3 linked regions of the Ovis aries genome follow. The protein of the gene in region 1 interacts with the protein of each later gene in a pairwise test. Links are inferred from orthologs where the notes say so. Each region holds a gene or a part of one and is shown in the gene's direction. Other genes may lie near its edges.

Region 1 (3,559 bases):
AGTCTTCAGGTTGCCGTGAGTGTTCAAGGCTGTTGTTTAGCTAATGAAGGGTGCTAGGATGACCTTGCTTGTCATTTCCCCACCTTTGTCCCTCTTTTTGCTTCACAACAGCAACTGTAAGCAGTGGCTGCCAGACCTGGGACTAGAATGACACAAACAAGGTGCCAAGAATACAGACATTTAAAGAGGCGCTCACTACTATATAGAGCATGGGTAAACAACAAGGTCCTACTGTACAGCACAGGGATCTATCTGCAGTGTCCTGTGATGAGCCAGAACGGAGGCCTTCCCTGGCGGCCTAGTGTTTCAGAATCCACCTGCCCATGCAGGGCACACCGGTTCAGTCCCTGGCCTGAGAAGATCCCACATGCAGTGGGGCAGCTAAGCCGGTGCGCCACAACTACTGAAGCCCATGCGCCTAGAGCCTATGCCCTGCGACAAGAAAAGCCGCAGCAATGAGAAGCCCATGCTCAGCAACGCGAGGGTAGCCCCCACCTACCGCAACTAGAAAAAAGCCCCCACAGCGACGAAGACCCAGCACAGCTAAAAAAAAAGCCTTACGAGAAAAGAGTATATATATATATATATATATATATATATATACATGTAATGTATATAGAGAGTCACTCAGTCTCAGGTTCCTGCAGGTGCTACCTCTGTGTGTCCTCTTATGTTTTACAACCTGGCACCTTGCTGGCTTCACCGTAGCCCCAGCCCTAGTGTCTCCATTTATACTTCAGAGCATCATTCAACAGCAGCACTCCCCCACATTTGTATATGGCTTTCCAGTTTACCAAGTGCCTTTGCATACATTAATTCTTGTATCCTGATGGCAATCAGGGAAGAGCAACATTCATTTAAGAACTTGTTGCCCGTACCAGACCTTTCTCAGGTGATCACTGACCACCCCCTCCAACACCCATTTTGCAGACGCTCCTGCCGCCTGACTGTGTGACTTTTCTTAAGATTCCTTCCCACACGGAGGCTCTAACCCTGTGCTCTTGTGTCCTGAGCTTGCTGCAGTGGTGGTGCAGACTTTCCGAGACCTGGCATGGTTGTGTCCTCAGTGTACGGAAGCTGTGTGTCAGGCCCTGCCCGGCTGTGAGGAGAACATTCAAGACAGCGAGGTAGACTACGATTCTCCTTTACTTCCTGATAAAGGGGAAGTGCTTGGGACCTGCTCTGTGAAATGGAATCGAATTATTCTTTCTATGCAGTGTCTGAAGTGGGAATTCTTAGAATCAGTTGCCACCTCAGATTCTCTTTGGGGTGTAGGCAGGATATAAATTATGAAAACATTAGAATTTAACTATGGTTTCCTCACAAATATTTTGATAACCGTTATTCTCATGTAACGTATTCATTATTTTGAGTGAGAGATTTAGACCATAGGGTTTTCAGCTGGCATGAAAAGCAGAGTCATTTGTGGACTTTCTACGTGTGTTTACGCTTCATCCCAGATCTACTCAGCTATTCAGAAGTGGGAACCCCTGGACACATACAGTTTCAAGAAGCCTTGCAGGCGATTCTGATGTGCACTCTAGGTTAATCACCACTTTAATGGAGTCACTTAGGGAAATCTTCCAGTAACTTCCACTGAAGCATGAAACTCCAAATTGGGGCCAAAGCCCCAAAACTGAGGAATCTTTATTGCTTAAACAACATAGGCGTGAGAGTCATAAGTCTCCTTTTTTGTGTAGAATTTCGTTCCTGTTTGTTGTAGAGAGTTTAGTAGGGGGTAGATCAATAAATGCAAGCTGAAGCAAGTAAAATACACTTTTTCTGCTAACTCTAGGGGAAAAGCAAACCCTGCTGCTGTCTGCCGTCTGCTCTCGCCTGGGTTTTGGACAGCCAAATGTTAAGCATCTGTTCTTACTCCCTAATTCCCTAGGGGAAGCAGGCACTTATCTGGTTACTCGGTGTCCATGGGAAGAGAATCCCCAATGCTCCTTATGTGTTGGAAGACTTCATAGAGAATGTGAAGTCAGAGACGTTCCCTGCTGTCAAGATGGAGCTGCTCACAGCTGTGCTGCGCCTCTTCCTCTCTCGCCCAGCTGAGTGCCAGGACATGCTAGGCCGCTTGTTACACTACTGCATAGGTAGGCTCTTCAGAGGAAATGGTACTTGCTGTGGCCAGTTGTGTATACCTCCTGGTGGCTCAGATGATAAAGAACCTGCCTGCAATGCAGGAGACCCGGGATTGATCCCTGGGTTGGAAAGATCCCCCAGAGAAGGGAATGGCAACTCACTCAGTATTCTTGCCTGGAGAATTCCATGGACAGAGGAGCCTCGTTAACTACAGTCCATGTGATCACAAGGAGTCAGACACAACTGAACGACTAACACTTTCACGTCGGTCATAGAGGTTCTCACAGCTTTCATTGTTTGATGAGCTGTGTCTGGGACCCAAGGAGAAAATGTCAACATTTTCTAGGGTTTCCTCCCTCCTATTCTGGTGGGCACAGGGATAGAAAGAATGTTTTTATTTTTAATTAACTCAACCTGTTATCTTTCCTCAGAGGAAGAAAAGGACATGGCAGTACGAGACCGAGGTCTCTTCTATTACCGCCTCCTCTTAGCTGGCATCAGTGAAGCAAAGCAGATCCTGTGTAGCCCTGAATCTGACCCTTCCCTCAGACTTTTGGAGGATCAGGCAGAAAGACCTGTGAACAGCTGGGCCTTGGACTTCAACACTCTGGTGCCAGTATATGGCAAAGCCCGCTGGGCAACCATAGCTAAATGCCAGGGAGTAGAACATCATGGCCCAGAGCTTCCTAACACTGCAGCCTTTCCCACATCAGGTAAAAATCAACCTTATTTTCTATCTTGTCATGAAAAATCTTTATGGTAGAGAGTAAAGTACCCCAGCTAAACTTCAGATTGTTGCTTGAATTTTGTCTTTGTGAACAAGAAAATTTGCCATTGGTTATTTAAGCCATTTCTCCAAAGATAAAAATCACATTGTGTACTTTCAGAAATCTAGATTTTAAAATGTAGTTTCAGCAGACTGAGAGCGTCTCTTAAATAAGCTTTCTGACTCTTGTAGGATCCCTGATTCCCGAAGAGAACAAGGAGAGGGTTCAGGAACTCCCTGATTCTGGAGCCCTCATGCTCATCCCCAATCACCAGCTTACTGCTGAGTGTTTTGAGAAAACTTGGCTGAGCCTCAAAGTTGCTCATCAGCAGGTGTTCCCGTGGCAGGGAGCAGTCCATCCTGACACCCTGCAGATGGCGCTGCAAGTCGTGAACATCCAGACCATCGCGATGAGCCGGGCTGGGACTCAGCCATGGAAAGCCTACCTCAGTGCTCAGGACGACACTGGCTGTCTGTTCCTAACAGAACTGCTGCTGGAGCCTGCGAACTTGCAAATGCAGATCTCAGTGAAACAAAGCGAGGCGAGGACAGAGACACTGAAGAGTTTTATTTCTGTTTTAGAAACTGTGATCGGAACGATTGGAGACATAAAATCATAACATGGCTTCTTGTCTGTCCATAGTGAGGTGAATAGCTGTCAGAGTTCCTTAGTTTTCTTATTATCACTGCTTGTAAGTCCAGATA
Region 2 (4,023 bases), on another chromosome or scaffold:
GCAGTGCCTCGGCCTGGCTCCGCAGCGCCGCTCGCAGGCGCTCCAGCTCCTCGCAGCCGTCGGTGCTGAGGCAGTCGGTCCGTGGAACGAAGAGAGCCGCGGCGCCCAACCCGGCGCTGTCCAGCAGGGCCGCGGTCTGATCCCGGGCCTGGGCTTCATTCTGTGACTCCTCGGGTCGGAGATTCCGCACAGCCAGCAGCGGGGTCCCTCGGGCCAGGGCGGCCCGTGCTGCCTCCCCCAGGGCCGGGGCCAAGGGCTCCTCATTGCTCTCGGGGCTTGGCAGCACCAGTACCAGCACGTTGGCCTCCGCCGCCCAGGGTCCCGGCTCTGCGGGTGGGCAGCTCAGCTCGCCCAGGAAAAGGCCTGGGCCTGCAGCTCGCAGGCTGGGGAGCCCGGAATCCGGCCGTCCGTCGGGGATCTCGACCGTCTCCACATCTCTGTCGCACAGCGCTGCGATCAGCGCAGATTTTCCGGAGCCCGGAGGCCCCAGGAATAAGACGGTCACGTCACCTCGCGGCGGAGGCATAGCTGGGAAGCAAGGAGAGAGGAAGACCTGGGTCACGGAGCACCCAACCTTATTTTCTAGCCTCCCTACTCCGGTCTCACATTTCAGCCAACTATTCTGTCCCTTTCTTTCGTTCTCGGGTACCACTCCCAGGCAGCCAGAAATCTGGCGCCCAGCCTCTATTCCCCAGGGACCCGGGAGTCCCGTCCGCCCTCCTTCTGGATGGCTTTCCTTTTCCGCTTCAAAAACTCAGAAATTGGCCTCCAGCTCCCAACACCCTCTGGGATACAGATGTTTTTAACCCCTCACTCCTCCCTTCCAAATCACCAACCGAGCAAACAACCAGCACAAGGGACGGCGCAGTTGGTAGCAGGTGGTCTGCCCCTAAGAAGCCCCCGCTCTGGGGTCGGGGGACGGAGGCCTAAGAGGTTAGAGCGCCGGGATTCGGGGACGTCCAGACGCTTTCCAGGGGTTCTAACCTGACGTCATTCCCTTTAGGAGGAGGTGTGTCTTGAAAGCGTAACCTCGGGAAGACAGCGCTGTGCGGCGCTTGCGCAGAACGACGGATGGGCGCTCGCCCGCTCTCAGCGGTCGCAGGTCCTAGAACAATGAGGGAGCCAAAGCGCGTGCGCGCCAGAAGCGCCTAACACGCTTGCGCAGTAAGCACCGGTCGGTCAGGCGAGAGTTGCGTACAACGTCATCATTACGCACCCCAGTGCAGGGAAGGACCCCTCGCGTTATATTGAGGACCGAATTGGTGGGACTGCATCATTGCAGTCGGATGGCAATCCAAGATCCGGGCTTCGAAAGGCTCATCAGGCGAAAGGCCGTGGAAAGCCTCGGGACTTTGAGACTCGGTGGGCCCTACCCCGTTTCCCTTCGGGTGACGGCGCTGTGACGAGCAACTGACAGGCGCAACGAAAGGCAGCCCCTCTGCTGTCTTGGAGAAAAGCAGAAACCTAGGCTACTGGCCTCGGGAGGGAGCCGAGGGCAGTGCTTGGGGGCAGCGGGTCACAACGGCTGAAAGCGCGCGTGGGAAGCGGGGTCTCAGAGTTTCGGGATGTCAGAGAAAGATGTCTCTCGGGAGGAGGCGGGCTAAAGCGTGGGTACCACTACCTGCCTCAAGACAGGTGGAAGAGAAGGGGATGAGGCTGGTGTCCAAAGATCAGGGGTCCCTAGCTCTGTGTTCAGGGAATTGGTTTGATGTAGCAGGCATAGGTCACTCAAGTGAGAAGGCGCTAAGAGAAGTCACAGAGCTGAGGAGCTGAATCTTTTGGAAGGTTGAATTCTCTACTGAGAGCTGTTAGGTTAGAATTCAAAGAGATGTTATCTCATGGAAGTCAAAGACGGGCAAAGTAAGCTTGTCAAAGATCACAGGATTAGGGGGCCCTCTAAATTTGGCTATAGATAAGCGACTTCACTTGATTTACTATTCTGCCATGCATGCTCCTCTCTTGACCAGAGGGGTCCCAGTCACCATGGAGGACCGGCACTCCAAGCAGACCATGGAGCAGCAGGATTCGTCCGAGGAGAGAAGTTCCCGAAGTCCGAGAGGTGACCTCTGTGAGTACTGCTGACCAGAGGAGGGTGGGTTGCAGGAGCTGTGATGCTAAAAGGACTTCTATAGCATCTCAGTGTTCAAAGCATTGTGGGGACTTACTCGTTAGGAAGGAGCTGTTAATGGTCCATGAGCTGCCCTCTCAGGACCCCGACCCTTGTTACCCTCAGAGGTAACAAGGAGCAGAGCTCCCTGCTCTGTCCACATAAATATGAAAGGGATGCACTTCAGAGGCAAAGAGTGGCATCCAGAGAGGCTTGGGGTGGGAGAAATGATTGGGAAGGGCAGTGAGCCCCAGTCCCAACCCTGCCCTGGACTTACAGTGCGCCTTGGACCTCAGTTTCCCTGTCAAAAGGGGTGGCCACTCCTCACCTCACAGGGCTGGCTGGTATGAGGATTAGCTGCAGAAAAGGAGAAAGCTTAATATTAATGAAGATAGCCAATTTGACATAGAACAGCAACAGCTTCTACTGAATGCTAATTACGTGTTAGATGCATTCTAAGATTTTAACACTTGTCTCAGTCTGTCCTCCTAACAGACTCTATGAAATTGATAATTATCACTGTCATATGAAGTGAGGGAACTGAGGCAAAGAGAGGTTATGTGTTTATAACAGTGAAAGCTAGTGTTAGTGCTTTCTAGCCGGAGACCACCAGGAACACACGTGGAGTTGAGCAAATCAGGCTTATTGCTCATTGTGCTGAGGAAGTACACACACTGTGGGGCATCTCATAAGAAAGGACTTCCCTACCACTGGGGAAGGGTTCAAGAAAGGGGTTTTGCTCTGGATAGAGGTTGCCAGGAAGCAAGGGCTCTTAGATGGCTGCTCACTTAATAAATCTGACCTAGGAGGAGGGAGGAACAAGGGAACGCTCCAGCTCTGACTGGCCAAGCAGCAGCAGGCACTCACGTAAGCCAGGACAGGGGGCTGTCTGGCCATTTCTCATGGCCCAGACAATGTTCACGTTTTGTCTGTGTTCAGAACAGCACCATGGTGTGGTCTTGATTTGCCCCAGTCACAGCACGGCCTTGTTTGACAGCGTTCTGTGGAATTGTTTATGCTCACCAGGAGAATGCCAAGGCCTAGCTGTGCCAGGCCAGCCCCTGGCTGTGGGGTTTCTTCTTTCTCAACAATAATTATTGCAAACCATTGTGTAGCACCGTTCTAAACACTATTTATAAGTTCATTCATTTATTCCTTCCAACAACCATATGAGGTGGATACTAATACAATGATTACCCCATTTTCCAGATGAAAACACTGTTTTCCCTTGCCAGGGGAAATCAGTTCCAGGCAGTCTGGCTCCAGAGGCTGTGCCCTAATCATACAGCTCTGTCAGAAGGGCAGACTGCCTGGGTTCCAGTTCTAACTCCACCATTTCACTTCCCAGCCTCATGACAGTCAGCAAGTTGCCTCAGCTTTTGCAGCCCTGGTCTGCTCATTCACAAAATAGGTCCAGTAAGTCTCCCGTCCAGGCCTGGCACAGCACCTGGCACAGAGCACGTCAAGTCCTGCATGCTGGTTGTCGGCATGATTCTGGGGCTGGGAGAGGCCCTCGCCACACCTGCTGGCCTCTCCCAACCTCTCCCCCATGTCCTCAGGCCACCTGGGGGCCCTGGAGTGCACCCGCTGCCTCATCACCTTCGCCGATTCCAAGTTCCAGGAGCGCCACATGAAGCGGGAGCACCCAGCGGACTTCGTGGCCCAGAAGCTGCAGGGGGTCCTCTTCATCTGCTTCACCTGCGCCCGATCCTTCCCCTCCTCCAAGGCCCTGATCACCCACCAGCGCGGCCACGGTCCAGTGGCCAGGGCCTCCCAGCCGGCTGCACCCATCACCACACCACCCACCTTCCCCTGTCCCGACTGTGGCAAGACCTTCGGGCAGGCTGCTTCTCTGAGGCGGCATCGCCAGGCACACGAGGCCCATCCCCTTCCTGGCCCCTTTGCCTGCACAGAGT
Region 3 (4,233 bases), on another chromosome or scaffold:
TCCAGAGAGGATTCACAGGATACCTGTGATCCTGACTAATAACCACAGGCGGTAGGGAAAAGCCTGGTTTGGCCAGGAGTGTGTGATCTTTATTTTACATGTGAATCCTTCCAACCACTGACCACAGGATGAAGGTTTGTACTTCCCGGAGGGAGTGCTCTGAGTAAAGCAAGGAAGCTGCCAAGAGCCAGGAAGCAAGTCCAAGCGACACGTGCATCTTGGATGAAACATGTCATATTGGAGATTGGTGACAAGGGCGAGCCGCATATCCCAGCCACAATGATTGCTAGGAAGGTGCAAGGGGTTCTTTGAGCCCTCTGGGAAATGAAGTATGGCCCATGCATTCTCCATCCTGGATCATAGAGATTCCTTGGATTCCCTAAATTCTAGTGAGCTGACCCAACTGTCCCCTGCCAGGTCCAGTACTCAGCACAAGCAGCTCTGGTGAACAGAACTGACTGTGGGCATCGTGGCCCACCCCAGACCCACCGAGTCGAGGGAACCCAGGACCTTGACATCTTGGGCACCAGCTCAAAACCTTGTGCTAGCCTCATTACAGGCAGCCTCCGTGGCGGCGGGGGTCGCGCCGGCTGGTGTGGGGCTGTGCCCCCGTGAAGCACCTGTTGGAGCCCAACATCGAACCCAGAAGAAAAGGAAGCCCGTTTCCCAAACAGGTAACGTGGGTCCCCGCCCCCTAGGGTCCCACCCCCGGGCGAGGCTGGCGTTCACTTACCGCAGCAGCGAAGCAGCTCCGCAAAGCCTCGAACTCCTGCGCGCACAGATCCTTCTTCAAGCAGCCGCCCGGGGCCGTGGACGCCTGCACGCACCTGCCGTAGGCCGCGGCCTGGGGGCGGACGGAGATGGGCGAGGGTCGCCACGGTCCCCGCGCCCGCTCATTACCCGGGCGGACCCCGCCGCCGCCGCTCCCGGGTCACCACTAGCCGCCCCCCGCCAACCTGCACCCCGCCTCGCGCGGCCCTTCCTGCCCCGCCTGACGACTCCGCACCTCGGCCCCACAGGCAGCTAGACACTCGGGAAAGGCGCGGAGGCGGCTTCGCACGCGACCCCACACAGCTCCGTTCCCCGACATGAGCGGCTCCTCCCGGCACCTGTGGGCGCCGCCATCTTAGGTCCGGCCTCTTCCGGCGCCCAACAGCTTAACCGGCAGGCACTTCCGCCCACAATCTTTCTTGCGCTTTGTCACTTGGTCAGGCTTAGCCCTCGCCTTAGCCTCTCCGGAACCGCTCTCAGTCTCCCAGAGCCCTGCAGTTGGCTCGTTGTCGGTCGCTGTCCTTGGACTTTGTATTGGTTCACGCGCAAACTGTTTCCCGAAGTCGGCCGCAAGGCCCTCCTCACTCGGGTAATTGGCCCGCGGGGTCAGGCTCACGCACTGATTGGCGGGGGCCCGGGCCTGGCGGAAGCGGGGCGGGGCCGGAAGGTGGCCGGCACCATGGCGGCCACGCCGCCGCTGCGGGACCGCCTGAGCTTTCTGCACCGGGTGAGTGAGTGCTGGCGGCCCTGGTCCCACCACGCGCCGCCTCCTGGCCTCACCCCCAGCCCAGGCCGACCGCCTCCCTGGCTGCGCACTGCCCCCGCGGGATCCCCGCGCCCCGTGCCCTCCGGATGCTGGCAGGCTTGGCGTCCCCTTCGTCCCCCTCCGTCCCCTCCCACCTCTCCTCTCGCCTCTTTCCCTGTTTTCCGGCCGCTTCAACATCCTAGAACACTCCTCATCTCAAATCCTACCCTTCGGCCCCTCCCGAGGCTGGGGGACCCCACAGCCTTGGGGGGCGGCAAGTCAGGCCATCCCTGTGTCAGGTCCACGGGGAAGAGTGACCCCCTTGAACAAAATCCCAAGTTTTTCTGTTTTCTTACCCAGCTTAAAGTAGCTTTACAGAAAAAGAAACAGTGATCCCCCGAACTCTGGCCGAGATAACCAGACGCTGATTCGAAGAGCGGCAGAAAACCTTTTATTAAGTGGTCCAGGCAGTGGGGGAAGCCCTGAATTCCAGTTCAAATTGTGCGGAGAGGACTGGGCGTTTTCAGGACAGGACAGAAGGGTGGAGTTCAAGTGAAAAATGGCAGGCGTTTGGGCGGTTTCGGTGGGATACGGCTGCTGTGCTGATAACTGGTGGTTACAGAAGCTAAGATCCCATCGTGCGGTAGGAACTGGGGGACAGACCCTGTCCCTCCTGGTGGTTACATTTCAAGGAGTGGCCTTCAGGTCCTTGAGAAAGACTCTCCTAAGTTGTAGGAGGTCTGGGTTCCCAATTGTAGAAAATGCTCCTGAAGTGAGCCTGAACCAGTCCAAAAGTCCAGGGTCAAGAAAAGGTCTGGAGTCTGTCACCAGAAATAGGCCAGAATGAACAGTGAATTCTGGCACTGTGAGCTTCCACAGGCAGGCGGCAGGGGTGAGGGGGGTGACGGGTTCACCCTCATGCTGCTGAAAGACAGGTCAGTTCTCTTTGAGCAGAGGTTTCGCTATGTGCCGAACATGCTATGGTCCTGCAGACCTTTCCAGCTTCCCTCTGGGTCTTGGTGGACAAATAGCGTGAACAGCCTCTTGCAACATTCAGGCCAACTGTGTCTGTGGCCAGCACCTCAGAAACTGCACCTGAGGTTTCTTGTCCTGTCTACACTAGGCTCATATCCTCCAGATGTGCCATGAGGTGGAATGGGTGTTTCTGGTTTTTATCCCTAGAAATTGTACATCTTTGTGCTGAGTCAACTCAGTGTAAACACCTTTGTGCTGACACATAAGCGTGAGACACACAGCTGAGTCGGTTGTTCTTGTTTTGAGTTGTTTCTGTGGGATCCCTTCCTGAAAGTGGCGCTGTAGGTCTGTCAGGGTGAATGATTGTGTCACAGGGGTTCACCTGAGGAGTATTTTTTTTTTTGCCAGTCTGTAAGTTGGTATACTAAAGGCACTTTTAAGTTGTGTGGCTGTAGGTGTAAGGGCCTGGGGGGCCCTGCTGAATCGTGACCTTTAGGGCCTGTCACCATGGAGACCACCACCCATTTCCTCTTCCCAGGCGTTCATCCCCGCCTCCAGAAGGGAGGCTTCTGCAGGCTCCCTGTGGCCAGTGGGACCGTTGCTCTTCTCTTTGGGTCCCCTGACCCTGTGTCACGCCAACTATAAGCTTTTGAAACTGGGATCCCCAAGAATGAGGGCTCCTGTGGCCACTCACTGTGGGCTGGGCTCTCGCTCCCTTTCAGCTCCCGATTCTCCTGAAGGGAACGTCGGATGATGATGTCCCGTGTCCGGGCTACCTGTTTGAGGAGATTGCCAGTATCCTTCCTTGTGGATACCTCTGGGGCCCCTGTAGCCTCTCCTACCCCATCTCCCAAGGTCCCGGGCTTCTCCTATCCCAAGGGGGCCCTGGCTCCTTTCCCATAGCAGCTAGGTGTGTGGGCTCTGAAAGTCACCTTACTGATGACTTGAGGCTTAGGAGGCCCTGGAAGCCGGGTGTTCCTGAAACCAGGGCCTGGGGTGGGTGCCTGGGGTGGGTGCCTGGGGTGGGTGCCTGTGGTAGAGGGGGCCACACTGAGGAGTTCGATGGCAGGAAGGCCCAGCTTCTCTCCCTGGCCAGGGCATTGTGTGGCCCAGGGTTAGCTCTCCCCTTCCCTAACTGAGTGCCTCCCAGAGATCTCCCACGAATCCCTGGGCAGCAGCCAGTGTCTCCTGGAGTACCTGCTGAACCGTCTGCACAGCGGCTCTGGCCGCGTGAAGCTCAAGGTGAGTCCGAGTGGCTCCAGATGCCTGCCCGGGGGTTAAGTCAGGGCCCTGTCCTGCCCCTGGTGGTGAGGCTGGAGGGGAGGGATGAGCTGGGGGCATGGGGGGCTGTGTCGGGTGGGGCACCCTTCTGTGGACCCAGCTCTGCCCACCCCCCCATCCCTGCTGCCCCAGGTGCTGAAGATCCTGCTGCACCTGTGTGGTCATGGCTCCTCTTCCTTTCTGCTCATCCTGAAGCGCAACCCTGCCTTCATCCAGGAAGCCGCAGGTATGGGCCAGCACTGCCTACAGGAGGCGTGGGAGGAAGGTGGCCAGGGCAGGTCTCGGCCAGAACCCTTAACCCGAGCCCCTGCCTCCCTGTCTCATACCCGTGCTCCGTCCACACTGTCCTTCACTGCCACTTCCTCCCTTCCCTTCCCTCTGTGTCAGCTCCTCCCCTCCTCCCCACCAGGCCAGGCCAGCACATTGCGTGGAATGGCTGGTGTCTGTCCGTGAGCTCTGCT

Evidence for each region.
Region 2: the proteins of AP4B1 (region 1) and ZNF576 interact in binary tests that used the Homo sapiens proteins (3 or more experiments, as listed by UniProt). The two-hybrid records come from large-scale screens. The link is inferred for Ovis aries from reciprocal best matches to the Homo sapiens genes AP4B1 and ZNF576.
Region 3: the proteins of AP4B1 (region 1) and TEPSIN interact in binary tests that used the Homo sapiens proteins (3 or more experiments, as listed by UniProt). The link is inferred for Ovis aries from reciprocal best matches to the Homo sapiens genes AP4B1 and TEPSIN.

What each region holds. Positions count from the first base shown.
Region 1 is NC_056054.1:91,209,046-91,212,604, reverse strand, and holds part of AP4B1 (AP-4 complex subunit beta-1), read left to right. Parts: intron 1-1,023; coding exon 1,024-1,127; intron 1,128-1,891; coding exon 1,892-2,099; intron 2,100-2,519; coding exon 2,520-2,801; intron 2,802-3,046; coding exon 3,047-3,474; 3' UTR 3,475-3,559.
Region 2 is NC_056067.1:51,632,502-51,636,524, forward strand, and holds the start of ZNF576 (zinc finger protein 576), read left to right. Parts: upstream 1-1,177; 5' UTR 1,178-1,578; coding exon 1,579-1,607; exon of another isoform or gene 1,608-1,967; coding exon 1,968-2,068; intron 2,069-2,913; exon of another isoform or gene 2,914-2,974; intron 2,975-3,455; exon of another isoform or gene 3,456-3,660; intron 3,661-3,666; coding exon 3,667-4,023. Other genes in the region: IRGQ (immunity-related GTPase family Q protein), read right to left, coding at 1-528, 985-994. UniProt on the Homo sapiens protein: May be involved in transcriptional regulation.
Region 3 is NC_056064.1:50,976,704-50,980,936, forward strand, and holds the start of TEPSIN (AP-4 complex accessory subunit tepsin), read left to right. Parts: upstream 1-1,422; 5' UTR 1,423-1,450; coding exon 1,451-1,498; intron 1,499-3,213; coding exon 3,214-3,286; intron 3,287-3,641; coding exon 3,642-3,733; intron 3,734-3,904; coding exon 3,905-3,998; intron 3,999-4,233. Other genes in the region: NDUFAF8 (NADH dehydrogenase [ubiquinone] 1 alpha subcomplex assembly factor 8), read right to left, coding at 490-620, 734-844, 1,007-1,090. UniProt on the Homo sapiens protein: Associates with the adapter-like complex 4 (AP-4) and may therefore play a role in vesicular trafficking of proteins at the trans-Golgi network.